Linked DNA regions of Oryctolagus cuniculus. The protein of the gene in region 1 purifies or fractionates together with the protein of each later gene. This does not show direct contact. Links are inferred from orthologs where the notes say so. Each region holds a gene or a part of one and is shown on either strand. Other genes may lie near its edges. The genes, in order: EIF4G3 and EIF3B.

Region 1 (6,973 bases):
AGAACTGGATCAGAAGTGGAGCAGCTGGGACTAGAACCGGTGTCCATATGGGACCAGCAGATGGAAGACCTCTCTCTCTCTCTGCCTCTCCTCTCTCTGTGTAACTCTGAATTTCAAATAAATACATAGATATTAAAAAAAAAAAAAAAGGAAGTAGAGAAGCCAGATCTTGAACTGTCACCCATATGGGACACTGGCACTGCAAGTGGTGGGTTAACTCATTATGCCAGTGTCGGCCCCAGAAACCATATTTCACGCTTCTTTTTCTGTCAATAATACATAGGAAATGCTCAATAAAGTCTTATTAGTGGCTTTGAAGTAGTCAAAGAAATGATTTTTAGACCCTGCATTTTCTGCTTTTACCTAATAACTAGTCTCCAGGTAGAAATACTTCAGTGAAAATTACTATCTTGGGGCCGCTGCTGCCTGCAGTGCTGGCACCTTATATGGGCCGGTTTGAGTCCCGCTGCCTTACTTCCAATCTAGCTCTTTGCTATGGCCTGGGAAAGCAAGTCTTTGGGCCCCTGCACCTGTGTGGGAAACCTGGAAGAAGTTCCTGGCTCCTGGTTTCAGATCAGTGCAGCTTTGCCCATTGTAGCCATTGGGGGAGTGAACCAGTGGATGGAGGACTCTCTCTCTGCCTCTGCTTCTCTGTAACTCTGCCTTTCAAATAATAAATAAATCTTTTAAAAATTACTATCTTTTCTTCAGGTTATTCTCTCTGCATTCCTTTCACATCTAAATATTGTCTTTATAAACTTTTATTTGAAAGGTAGTAAGACAGAGACAGGGAACGATATTCTAGTCACTTTGTCACTCCTCAAATGCCCACAACAGCTAGGGCTGGGCCAGGCCAAAGACAGGAAACCAGAACTCCATCTGGGATCACGTGGGTGGCAGATAACCCAGTACTTGGAGGCAGCATCCTACTGTATTCCCAGGATATAATTATCAGGAAGTGGATCAGGAGTGGAGCTGTGACTCAAACCAGGCCCTCCAATACCCCAGGTGGCATCTTCCACACTCTGCCCTCTAGAATACTCCAACACCTTTCCCTCGAGCTCCCTGTCCTCTAAAGCGCAGTGGACTCCTCACTCACCTGGTCTTCTCTTCTCCTTGGTCATGAGCTGCTGCACCTTCCTCTGTTCCTCTTGTTCTTCTATTTTAGCTTCTTTGTGAATCTGCTCAATAGTTTTAGGCCCTTGATCTGCTCTTCGAGACACCCAATTACACTAGAAAAGTGAAAAATCAGGTTATCAGCCAGATGCTGAAAATAAAAATAAAATTAAATTATAAGTTTTTAATTTTCACTGCTAGAAAAGTATAAACTACCTACAAAATCTGAGATTATGGCAGTTTTCCATCTGTCATGTGGATGGCACTGTGTACAGTATGGTAATTAGAGTTAAGAATTAAATTCTTCTCAATCAACCCTGACCAACTTAACTGTACAATGCACATTCCAACAGCAAATGGACAGACTGGCCCAAATGTATTTTATCATTATTCTGCACATTTGAAAGGAGGAGAGGGAAGAGGAGTCAAGAAGGACAAGGGTTCCTTGGCATTGCCTTAATCTAGGGGTTCTATTAGTTCATATCACACTCCATAGGGAGTCTAATTAGAAGATGACTAGCATTCTTCTTCCTCCAATATCAGGGTTCTGGATCCTGCACAAAGTGTCACACCATTGTGCCCTTTGGTTATCCCCTCTACTAAGGCCAAAAGTTGCCTCTTCATACTTTCCTGTTCCATTTCCTAATGTTCTAACATCTGATACAAGTAAAAGGAGCTGAAGGCATGGGTGGGGAAGTATTTTCTACTTATTAGACAGAGGCAAGGATGGCAAACAGATTTAAACCAGTATGCAGGCCGGTGCCACAGCTCAACAGGCTAATCCTCCGCCTAGTGGCGCCGGCACACCGGGTTCTAGTCCCGGTCGGGGCACCGGATTCTGTCCTGGTTGCCCCTCTTCCAGGCCAGCTCTCTGCTGTGGCCAGGGAGTGCAGTGGAGGATGGCCCAGGTGCTTGGGCCCTGCACCCCATGGGAGACCAGGAGAAGCACCTGGCTCCTGCCTTCGGATCAGCGCGGTGTGCCGGCTGCGGTGGTCATTGGAGGGTGAACCAACGGCAAAGGAAGACCTTTCTCTCTCTCTCTCTCTCTGACTGTTCACTCTGTCAAAAAAAAAAAAAAAAAAAAACCACACCAGTATGCAAGTGGCTTTGGTAATAGGAGAGATCCCAACGCCATGCCGGGGCTTTAGCAAAACAGAGAACCATCACCAGTGCTGGATTCAGACAGGAAAGAGGTGTGCCCCGCATTTACTTTCTCTCCTTGGGCTGGCTGCACTATATTCCCTACAGGAGTTAACTAAGAGAAGAAATCAGGCTACAGTGATAAACACTGTATGTGGTATAAGAAGAGAAAAACATTATTATAGAATAAGAGGGTTTATAGGAAAAACAATAGAGCAGAAAACATCAACATGTGGGCACTTTCCATAATGATCTCGCTGAATCTTTACAACAAATCTGCAAGGCAGACAACATCCCCATTTTACAGATTAAAAGTGTAAGGCTCAGCAAAGTCAAACATTCATTGTGAAGATCAGACTGATCATTTAGCTCACGAAAACTAAATTTAATTGACCACAGTCTGAATTCAGAACTGCTTATTTCAAAACTGCAATGTAGTCTGATAATCAAAGTAAGGAGTAGAAACACGCAACAATTAAGAGGTTCCTAACTCTCTCAGGAATACACCAGTTCAAGATCAGAGAGTATTGAAGCAAAATCATTAATTTTATTTATTTGTTTATTTATTTTAAAGACACATTTTATGTATTTCAAAGGCAGAGTGGCAAAGAATCTTCCATCCATTGGTTCACTCCCCAAATGATCACAAATGGGACTGGGCCAGGCTGAATCCCTGAGCCCAGAACTCCATCTGGGATTCCCACATGGGAGGCAGTCCCAAGTTCTTTGGTCATCCTCTGCTGCTTTCCCAGGTGCATTAGCAGGGAGCTGGACGGGAAGCAAAGCAGCCAGGACTCAAACCAGTGCTCTGACACAGGATGCTGGTGTTGCAGGTGGCAACCTAGTCTACTGCACTGCAACACCAGTCAGAAGCATTTTTTTTTTTTTTAAGATTTATTTATTTGAAAGGCAGAGACACAGAGGGAGATATCTTCTATCTGTTAGCCCACTCTCCAAGTAGCTGCCAACAACCTGGGCTGAGCCAGCCTGAAGTTAGGAGCCAGGAGCTTCCTCTGGGTTTCAGAGAGAGAGGGAAAGACACACTGAGAGAGGTTTTCCATCTGCTGGTTTACTTCCCAAACGGCCACTATGGCTTGCACTAGGCCAGGCTGAAGCCAGGAAACAGGAGCTTCATCTGGGTCTCCCATGTGGGTGGCAGGGACCCAAGAACTTAGGTCATCCTCCACTGTGGGGAGCAACTCGGACTAGACTATTACTGGAATTAAGACTTATTCTATGCATCTGTTCTCCCACAATATGGCGCTGAGAAGGGAGTAACAACTTCTACGCAGCTGCCTCTCGCCAACTTGAGTGATGACCTGCAGGAGCTGATCCTGCTCCTGATTGGAGGAGAGCAGCGTACTCGGCATGTGGGTAGCAGAGTTGGGATTGGTGGAAGAGGACTATAAAGGAGGAGAGAGACAACATGCACCAGGAACACCTGAGGAACATCTGAGCAGCCCCTGAGAGAGCCGGCCGGCGGTGTGCCGCTCCCCCGCGGAAGTGGGGAAAGTGGCAGGGGGGACCGCCCTTCCACGGAGGTGGAAGGGTCAGTAGCCAACCCGGGAAGAACCAGCAGCAAACCCGGGGAGGGCCGAGCAGACAAAAGAACAGCGCAGGGTCCTGTGTCGTTCCTCCATGAAGAGGGGGAGCGACATAATGGTGCCGTGACTCGGATATGAAGCCTAGGCAGGGTTTAGTGTCGTTCCTCCACGAAGAGGGGGAGCGACACTCCACTGCTTTCTGAAGTGCATTAGCAGGGAGCAGGTTCGGAAGTGGAGCAGCCAGGACTCGAAACAGGTGCCCTTATGGGATGCCGGTGCTGTAAACTGTGCTTTTAACCTGCTACACCACAGCACCAGCCCCAACCATAAGTTTTTTTTTTGAAAATATTTTATTTATTTATTGAAGAGGCAGATTTATAGATAGTGAGAGGGAGAGACAGAAAGAAAGGTCTTCCAGCCATTGGTTCACTCCCCAAAATGACCACAATGGCTTATCTGAAGCCAGGAGCCAGAATCTTCTTTCAGGTCTCCAACATGAGTGCAGGGGCCCAAGCACTTGGGCCATCTTCCAGTGCTTTCCCAGGCCACAGCAGAGAGATGGATCGGAAGAGGAGCAGCCAGGACTAGAACTGGCGCCCATATGGGATGCCGGCACCACAGGCAGTGGTTTTACCCTCTACACCACAGCACTGGCACCAGCATTAAGTTTTTATACATGTTAACGTTAGGACATCCTTCTCCTATTCAATTTATTAAAATAATTTAGACTAGTAGTATATTTCCTTTTCTTTCCTACTTACCAGCCTTAGGTCTATCACATCTTGAAGCATGAATCGAATTCTAGATGAGGTTTTTCTTTCTTTCACAATTTTTTCCATCTGATTAAAGTACTGGTCCATACGTGGCTACAAGAAACAAGATCATTAGTATTTCTGGCTAAAGAATTCAAATGTAATTTCATGATATAGATTTTTTTTCATTATAGAGAGCTTTTAAATGTTTAAGGAATAATATGACAGGATTTTTAATTGCCCATATGATTGCCCAAAGAAAAGATTACACTTTTCAGACTTTTGAGCAGGTGGCTTTTTTATGCTATTAATTATAGATCAGAATATAATGGAAATGCTATTTTGCAGCTCCCTGGAACCTTCCTTATGAGAGAGGTAGCTGTGTCCTTTGTCCCCCTTTTTTCCTACTTTTCCTGCTGAGAATTCTAAGGACTTAATGTTCTACCTTAGGAATGTGAAACAGTAAGCTACAAGGACTTATCTATGAACTTTGCTTATATAAGTGAAAAACTTCAATAATGTAGAAACTACAGGTACTTGGGATTTTCTGTCATAGCTAAACATAATTCTAGCTGACTCAAATGTTATGGAACAGTTCTGACATTATTTCTTTGAAGCACTTCTCATTTCCACAAACCTTACTTGGACAGTACTATGTTATGTTTGAATTATAGTATTTTTGGTGAATTCTTATATTATGGTTAGCTAGATGGGCCATTAATCAGAGCATAAACTTGAAGAAAACCAGGGGCCAGCATTGTGGCATAGCTGGATAAGCTGTAGCTGGCAGTGCTAGCATCCTATAAGGTTCAAGTCCTGGCTGCTCCACTTCTGATACAGCTCCCTGATAATGCAACTGGGAAAGAAGCAGAGAATGGCCCAAGGGCTTGGGTCCCTGCACCCACGTGGGAGACCTGGAAGATGCTGCTGGCTCTTGGCTTCAGCCTGGCTCAGACATGGCCATTGCAGCCATTTGGGGAGTGAACCAGCAGATGGAAGACCAATCTCTATCTAAAATAATATAAATCTTCAAAAAAAAGTGAACTACTGGGTTTTCCACATTTCTGTACCACCCTAGAGCCTGACACATAGTAGCTTTTCTTTTTTTTATTTCAGCTTAAAACTTGCTGTACAAATAAATGACCTATGAAATAGTTACGGAGGAAGAAAAGAGACAAGTGACAAATAATGTGAACAATCTACAAATTGTCTTCTGTATAATTTGGAACCTGCTCCTCTATGACTCTAATGCAAATGTGGCAGGGAACATGCTGGCCAAAAACTGATGATTAGATAGACAAAGGGAAATTAACAGCCTCAGCTGTGGGGGTGAGAGAGTATTTTGCAACCCAGAGCCTCTGTGGAAAGTTTCTGAATTTTTACCTTTGCTTTCTCAAAGTCCAAGTCTTTGCCAATGGTGGTGAGCAGGCGACACAGACACTCCAGGGATTCCTCATCGTGGTTCTTTAGCAGTTTCACCACACAGTCGTGCATGATGGCTTCAGTCAGCATTTTGAGTTTAAAGAGTTCTCCAATAAACTTGATGTTACCAATGGATCTCCGTCGGGCTTTGTCCTTGGCTTCTTCCAGTTCATCATGAAGCCTTGTCCTCTCCTCTGGCTGTCGTGTGAGAAGGAGTAAGAGCATCTTAATGAAAAGTTGTATGCCTCACGATCCTTACTCGTTCTGAGCGTCAGATGCCCTGTGAGGATCTGACAGCGACTGGGGACTTACTTTTCAAAACACGAACTACACCCACAAAGACCTCCTGCATTTCAGATCTCCAGAACCCAACGCCCTCTCTCAAGTCTAGGTTTAGACTGAACGCTGCTGCGGAGAGCTGAGCTGCTCTGACATTCAGCACTAAGAGGAATAAAACAGAACCCCTTTAAGGAAGCGGGGAGATGCTGTACCCGGCCTCACGTGTCCTTGGAAGCACTCAACACGCGTGAACACTGTCTTTCTGATGATACACTTACAGCACTGGCAGCTTCAAGTTCTTTCTGCTTCTTCTCAAAGACATCATCATCTGCTTTATCTTTTTCAAATTCCTTCTGGCAACGGTTCAGCAATAATTTCCGAAAATTCACTGTGTTACCAGGCTTGTCTGCCATCGGTACTTTGAGCTGCACGCAGATAGGAAAACGTAAAAGCAGCAAGATTAAAGACATTCAAAATGTCTATTTTCATTATTGTGCAAAATAATGCTACTGAAAAACAGGTAGGTTTTCTACAAGGGATACACAATTCAGCTTCAGGCATTTCATGATTCAACAATAAGATGTCTTGAATATTCTAAAGAACAGATACATATTATTCTCATACATCTTTTATAGCCATGCCTTTAGCTGAATCGGAAATTCACATCATATCATTACACCTGTGACCTCTTTTTACCTAACTAGACTTTTTTGATTTACC
Region 2 (6,973 bases), on another chromosome or scaffold:
CCATCACAGCCAAGGCTGGGCCAGGCCACAGCTGCCAGTCGGGACTCCATCTGGGTGTCTGAGGGTGGCAGGAGTTCAAGTACTAGAGCCGTGCTCGCTGCTTCCTGCGCATCTGTAGGAGGCTGCGTCAGAAGTGAAGCGGCTGGGACTCAGATAACGATAACGGATGCAGCGGCGCAGGCTGCGTGTGCTTAGCCCACTGTGCCCACGCCAGCCACCGTGATGACCCTGCTGGACACACAGCCGCCCCTCGTAGCTGAGCGCGCACAGCGGAGCAGGCGCCTCTCCTGGGCACCCAGCTCCCTCATGTTGCAGTAGAGTGAGTCTGCTGTTTTCTGTGGACACGCTTCATGCAGATCGGCACCCAGGTTGGCTTTTTCACATCATTTCTATTTAGCACAGCAAAATGTAGCCTAAAGGGGCCGGCGCCCTGGCTCACTTGGTTAGTCCTCTGCCTGCAGCGCTGGCATCCCATATGGGCACCAGGTTCTAGTCCCGGCTGTTCCTCTTCCAGTCCAGCCCTCTTCTGTGGCCAGGGAGTGCAGTGGAAGATGGCCCAAGTGCTTGGGCCCTGCACCCGCATGGGAGACCAGTGGGAAGCATCTGGCTCCTGGCTTTGGATCAGCACAGCTCCAGCCGTAGCGGCCACTTAGGGATGAACCAATGGAAGGAAGACCTTTGTCTCTGTCTCTGTCTAACTCTGTCAAATTAAAAAAAAAAAATAGCCTAGAATTTGCTTTTCTTTTTTTCTGTTTTTAACATGCACTTCCCCTGATGGAGTTAGCCAGCTCCGTGGCTGTTTGTTATATTCACAATGGTGTATGGCCAAAGCCACATTTTCCAGAATGTTCTCACGCAGAGGGTGCTGCATGCCTGTCAGCTGTCGCACTCCACAGCTCCCCTAGCTCCTGACAGCCTCTGCTTTTTCTGTCTGGCTGACCCCACTTGGGACGTCTCCTGTCGATAAAACCAGGGCTGGCGGCCTTGTCCGACAGCTGCCACACACACAGGGCATCTGTGTGCAGCGTGGGAGGAGCTGTGTTCATTTCCACCGCTGAGCAGTGTGCTCTCTTGCTAGGCAGACCATGCTTCATCCATCCTTCTGGGGTGGCCGTTGACCACTGAGGATTGTGCACACCTGGCGTTCTGTCACAGAGACGGCACCAGGACGGTGTGTGGTCCCAGCACTGCGGCTCCAGGGCACTGGAGTCCACTGCGGGCCTCCGGCAGTCAGCCTGAGGGGCCTGGGTGTGGCTGTAGGACGGCCCCCTTGGGTACTGGAGAGGGGCCTGGGTGTGGCTGTAGGACGGCCCCCTTGGGTAGAGCTGCACGTGGCTTAGCTGCCAAGGGCTCTTTGTCCCCACCTCCCTGAGACTAATTTCAGTCACTTGAGCTCCTCGCGAGTTCATCACATGTATAAAGTTAATCTCTTATTGCATTAATAAATGCTAGTTTTGGATGTCACTTTTGTTTTTTTAAACAGGGTGTTGTCACAAATTTTGAAATTTTTCGGATGAGGGAAAAACAGGTGCCTGTGGATGTGGTCGAAATGAAAGGTGAGTTTCATTACCGTCCTTCCTGGTTGTGTCGGCTCAGTGTCCTGCTGACCCTCCACTTCTGAACCTGCAGAGCGCCCAGGGCACGTGGCCGAGACTGGGCTCTGAGCGGGAGCGGCCGTCTCCGAAGCACACACGTGTAGACAAGTTCAGGTTTTGTGGTGTCCCTCGCAGCAGAGTGGGGGCCCTGTCGCTGCCCACGCCGGGAGCTCACTGCACAGGCGCTCAGCCTGGGGCGCAGACTCGCAGCTCATAAAGCTGCTTCGCTTTCTCCTAAGGACACGATATACTGTTTGGTTTCCGGTTGTTTGCTGCGTGCATTACTTGCTGTCCGCAGTGTTGATACCTCCCGCTCTCTCTGAGATTTACTTATTTGAGAAGGAGAGAGATCTTCCATCCTCTGGTTCACTTCCCAAGTGGCTGCAGTCAGCCGGTGCTGGGCCTGCCTGAAGCCGGTAGCCTGGAATTCCATGTAGGTCTCCCGTATGGGGCACAGGCTCGTCAGGCAGGGAGCTGGGTCAGACACAGCATTGCCCGAGACGCACCGCGACAGGCAGTCCATGAGCAATGCTCAGCCGCTGTGCCAGACGCGGGCTGCGCTTCGCGTGATCACTCGTGTCCTCACTTCCTGTCGTGCCTCTCCGCAGGAAGTCCAGCCCATGGCCTTTTCCTTTTTGTTGTTTGCACGGTCGCCCTGGGTGGCCTGTTGGGCATAGGATGTGATGTCAGGACGGGGTAGGCAGCCTTTTTCCTGCCATTGGGATTTTGTGTGTATTTTTAATTATTTATTTATTTGAAGGAGTTAGGGGAAGAGAAAGGTCCTCCATCCACTGGTTCACCCCAGATGGCTGCAGCGCCGGCAGCCGAGAGCTTTTTCCATGGGTGGCAGGGTCCAGGCATCTAGGTTGTCTGGCCGTGCAGAGTCGGCGGCGTGCAGATTAGCCGGCTGCAGGTTTCTGATTCTGAATCCCACAAGCAGTTCTGCATAGGCACGGGGCGTGGGGTCCCCAGCCGCACGGGACACGGGCTCCGCACAGCCCCCCGGGGTGACTCAGGAGGAGGCGGGTTTCCTGTGCTGCGGGTGGCTTCACGGCAGGGATCGCTCACACCTGGGGCTGGGCCCGCCCTCGCGTTGCTCTGGTCGCACAGTGAGGGGCATCTCGGGTCACACGTGGGAGTTGTTTGGATGACCGGGTGGCCATGTCTTGCTGCCGCAGAGACCATCATCGCGTTTGCCTGGGAGCCCAACGGGAGCAAGTTCGCCGTGCTGCACGGGGAGGCGCCGCGCATCTCCGTCTCTTTCTACCACGTCAAGAGCAACGGGAAGATTGAGCTCAGCAGTGAGTGGCCGGGCCCCTGCCTGCCTGGGGGCTTGCTCAGGGCCCAGGGGGCCGTCGGGCTGGTGCGGTCACACTTGTCCAGTCACACTTGTGGTCAGGCCTGCGTTCACACACAGCTGGGTGCGCTGTGGGCTTAGATGCCTCACAGATGCAGACAAGGGTGCTTCGTGTTCCTGGGGTGTGGGCGTCTGTGAGCTCCCGGCGGGCCCCTCGGCTCACATTCATGTTGCTGAGGTTGACCACCTTCTCCCTTGTTGTGAGTCGGGTGCTGTGGGCTAGGGGTCACTTCCTTGGATACCCGCCCGCCCCTTAGTCTGAGGCGGGGTCCTTTGCCCTGCCTCTGGGCTCCCTGATCCAGTGAGTGGGCTGGAAGCCAGCTCCCTGTGGCTGTGGTCCCACAGCGGTGCAGTGCCCCTCTCCCTGCCTCTCCTGGGGGTGCTGTGTCTCGGGCTCCCGAGGTGTGTGTGGTGCAGCACCCCTCCCTCTCCCTGCCTCTCCTGGGGGTGCTGTGTCTCGGGCTCCCGAGGTGTGTGTGGTGCAGCACCCCTCTCCCTGCCTCTCCTGGGGGTGCTGTGTCTCGGGCTCCCGAGGTGCTGTGGCGCGCATGGCAGTAGCTTGCTGCCTCCTGAAAGTCTCATTCTCGCTGTGGTGTGTGTGTGGTGGCCTCGGGCTGTGCAGCACACCGAGCACCTCCCCCGGGTCTGGCTGCCCTGCCGCGTGGAACCGCACCGTGGGTTCATCCCAGTCCTCAGAAGGAACTCGTGTGTGCTAGAGGCAGCGTTTCCCTAGAGAAGTCTGCAGAACTCAGTTCTCACGTGGCCGGAGCTTAGCATTGAGTGGTAGAATCAGTTCTGTGACGTTGGATGCGCTTCCATTGCTCTGCCATGTGAGAAGTCAGGCGGTTGGAGGCCACGAGGAGACCTGCGCTCTGTGCTACGAGCAGAGGGGCCTCCCCCTGCGCTGCGTGCCGGGGGCCCTGCCCAGGGTGCTCCCTGGCACGCGGTGGCACTCGGCGCTGTGCCTGTGTGTATTCCAGGGCTTCTGCCTGTTTTTCCCCTGACGAGTTCTTCTGTAACGTGTTCTAGTTTAAGTGAAGTTACTTGAAAGGCAGAGACCTCTCCCATCTACTGGTTCACTCCCCCAGTGTGCGCAGGGCCCTGAACTCGGGATCCAGCCGCGTGAGCCGCGGCCTCCCGGGCCCCCGGGCCGTTCTGGTCTGAGAACGCCGCCCTGTTGGGGCAGTGTCCTTCGAAGCACGTCTCCTCTCCTCTTGCTGCCCTGCTGCACGATGATTCTTTGAACGTGCCACAGGCCAGGAGGGAAGAGCCCGGGTTCCCGGCCCCGAGGTGGAGGCCCTGTGACAGCGGATGTTTGTTGTAATGGATGAACTCTCTGGGTAACTCCGTGAAGTGAAAAAGCGGTGTCAGTTTCAACGGACCCCTGCCCCTTTTTTCTTTTTTTTTTTTTTCCAGTGTGGAGCACAGCTTCAGGTGTACTGAGATGGGTTTTCCATAACTGCCTTTTTTTTTTTTTTTTTTTAAGATTTATTTATTTGAAAGAGTTACGTAGAGAGAGTAAAGGCAGAGAGAGGGGTCTTTGGTCTGATGGTTCCTTCCCAGATGGCTGCAACGGCTGGAGCTGTGCCGATCCCAAGCCAGGAGCTTCTTCTGGGTCCCCCATGCGGGTGCAGGGGCCCAAGCACTTGGGCCATCTTCCACTGCTTTCCCAGGCCACATCAGAGAGCTGGACTGGAAGAGGAGCAGCCGGGACCAGAACCGGTGCCCACATGGGATGCCGGCGCTTCAGGCCAGGACGTTAACCCGCTGTGCCACAATGCCCCCTCCCCCCCAATTGCTTTGAGAGCCAGCAAAGGCATGGGCTGTAGGTGGAGTCCTGACCCAAAGCCCCTTGTGCCAGATCCACCATAGCGGGCCGTGGGCAGTGGGCACCGTGATGCAGACTTTAACATACGGGTGCTTGCTTGCTTTCTTTCCAGAGATGTTTGACAAGCAGCAGGCAAACACCATCTTCTGGAGCCCCCAAGGACAGTTTGTGGTGCTGGCCGGCCTGCGGAGGTGGGTGGCCCAGCTGAGCCCATCCGTGTGGTCACAGGGAAAGGTGGGGGTGTCCTTGTGTCCCCTCACAGTGCGGAGTGTCTGTACGCTCCGGCGTGCGGGCCGAGGGCAGGCAGGGTCCGTGCTGGCACGCAGGTGTCATCCTCCGTGGCCTGCAGACCTGCACCTGTGGTGTCCTTCCCAGCATCCTCACCCACGTGTGCTCTCGCAGGAAAAACAGACCGCAGGTAGCGGTTTGACTGTTCCCTCTGGCCATTGTCACGATGAGCATTCAAGAGCACAGTTTCGCCTCTCCCGTTTCCTGTCGTTCCAGTGAGGCTTGTACATGGTGGAGAGGATGCCCTCTGCTGCCTGCCCCACCTCACTGTACACCGGGGCTGGGTTGGGGGTCCGGGGAAGGGTCGTCTGGCCCTGCCAAGGCAGCTGCGGGCAGCACTCGAAATTGAGTGAATCCTCAGCTGGCTAGTTTTCAGTTGCTGCTTTCCTATGGCCCACGAATGTTAGAAATTCCCAAACGGCCCCTGGAGAAAGGGTTCCCCACCCCTGCTGTGGAGGCGGAGCTCTGCCCATCCACCCCTGCAGCCTGGAGGCGCCTTGGCCCCCACAAGACGCAGAGCGGCAGCAGGTGCGGCCCGTCTTGTCTGGTGATGCTGGGAGCAGCTGAGGTCACAGGGCTTCGGTGGCTGCCCCCTGGCGCTGCCTGTCACCGCGCCATCGTGCCCTTGTGTCACGTTCCTCCACAGCATGAACGGTGCCTTAGCGTTCGTCGACACCTCAGACTGCACGGTCATGAACATTGCAGAGCACTACATGGCCTCCGACGTGGAGTGGGATCCGACCGGGCGCTACGTGGTCACCTCCGTGTCCTGGTGGAGCCACAAGGTACAGGCGCTGCCAGGCTCGGCTACCAGGCCCGGCTTCAGCTCCCCGTCTCATCAGCAAGTCCTGGCTTACTGAAGCTGTCCTCTGTGTGTGTAGCACAGAATAGGTGGGCGGCCGTGAATACAGGAAGAGGCGGGGTGGCAGACGAGGCGGGCGGCCAGGAGGAGCTGTGTCCGCCTAGGGCCAGGGACCCCTGCAAGGAGTCGGGTGGTCGGGGAGCAGGAGGTCCCCGCCTAGGGAGTTTGACTTCTCTGCCTCCGGAGGTCCGGTGCTGGTGGGCATGTCGGCTGGCCAGAGTCTGCACGCACTCGGTGCTACTGTGCTGGAGCTCTGAGCTTCATGTCTGGAGGTGATGGTGGCTGATGGAGGAGTGGGGTGTTGGACTGGGTGCCGATAGACAGGGCCCTAGGTGAATTGGGGTGGCTGTGTGTGGTGAGCTGAGCACCCTGCATTGGCCACCTTGTTTAGATGTCACCACAGTGAGACTGTCAGGATGCTTTTATTAAGAAGTGACACACTTGGCCGGCGCCGCGGCTCACTAGGCTAATCCTCCGCCTAGCGGCGCCGGCACACCGGGTTCTAGTCCCGGTCGGGGCGCCGGATTCTGTCCCGGTTGCCCCTCTTCCAGGCCAGCCCTCTGCTGTGGCCAGGGAGTGCAGTGGAGGATGGCCCAGGTGCTTGGGCCCTGCACCCCATGGGAGACCAGGAAAAGCACCTGGCTCCTGGCTCCTGCCATCGGATCAGCGCGGCGGCCATTGGAGGGTGAACCAACGGCAAAGGAAGACCTTTCTCTCTGTCTCTCTCTCTATCCACTCTGCCTGTCAAAAAAAAAAAAAAAAAAGTGACACACTCTGTTTTAGATACAAACACTTAGCTTCCCAAAAGTGCTTGTTTGCAATAAGGAGATTGTGCCAAAAGGGGCTTCAAGGCACTGCCTCTGGGAAGCTTCGTTGTAGAAAGAGAAGTGAGCAGAACTCAGCAGTGTGGTTGGTGATGGAGCGCTCTGTGTCCCGGCCCATGCTGCTCGTGGCAGACCAGGGGTAACAGGCCTATGCTTTGCGCGGCGCTGGTGTCGCCGCGTGCGCCCAGCACCCTGTGAGTCACCCCGTCTTGTCTTTGC

What was found.
Region 2: the proteins of EIF4G3 (region 1) and EIF3B purify together in Homo sapiens (affinity purification with mass spectrometry; 3 studies listed by BioGRID and IntAct, with this or other methods). This does not show direct contact. The link is inferred for Oryctolagus cuniculus from reciprocal best matches to the Homo sapiens genes EIF4G3 and EIF3B.

Annotation. Positions count from the first base shown.
Region 1 is NC_091438.1:149,925,130-149,932,102, reverse strand, and holds part of EIF4G3 (eukaryotic translation initiation factor 4 gamma 3), read right to left. Parts: intron 6,679-6,973; coding exon 6,532-6,678; intron 6,173-6,531; coding exon 5,936-6,172; intron 4,667-5,935; coding exon 4,562-4,666; intron 1,233-4,561; coding exon 1,100-1,232; intron 1-1,099. UniProt on the Homo sapiens protein: Component of the protein complex eIF4F, which is involved in the recognition of the mRNA cap, ATP-dependent unwinding of 5'-terminal secondary structure and recruitment of mRNA to the ribosome. Functional homolog of EIF4G1.
Region 2 is NC_091450.1:37,187,755-37,194,727, forward strand, and holds part of EIF3B (eukaryotic translation initiation factor 3 subunit B), read left to right. Parts: intron 1-1,483; coding exon 1,484-1,556; intron 1,557-2,773; coding exon 2,774-2,896; intron 2,897-4,892; coding exon 4,893-4,971; intron 4,972-5,714; coding exon 5,715-5,853; intron 5,854-6,973.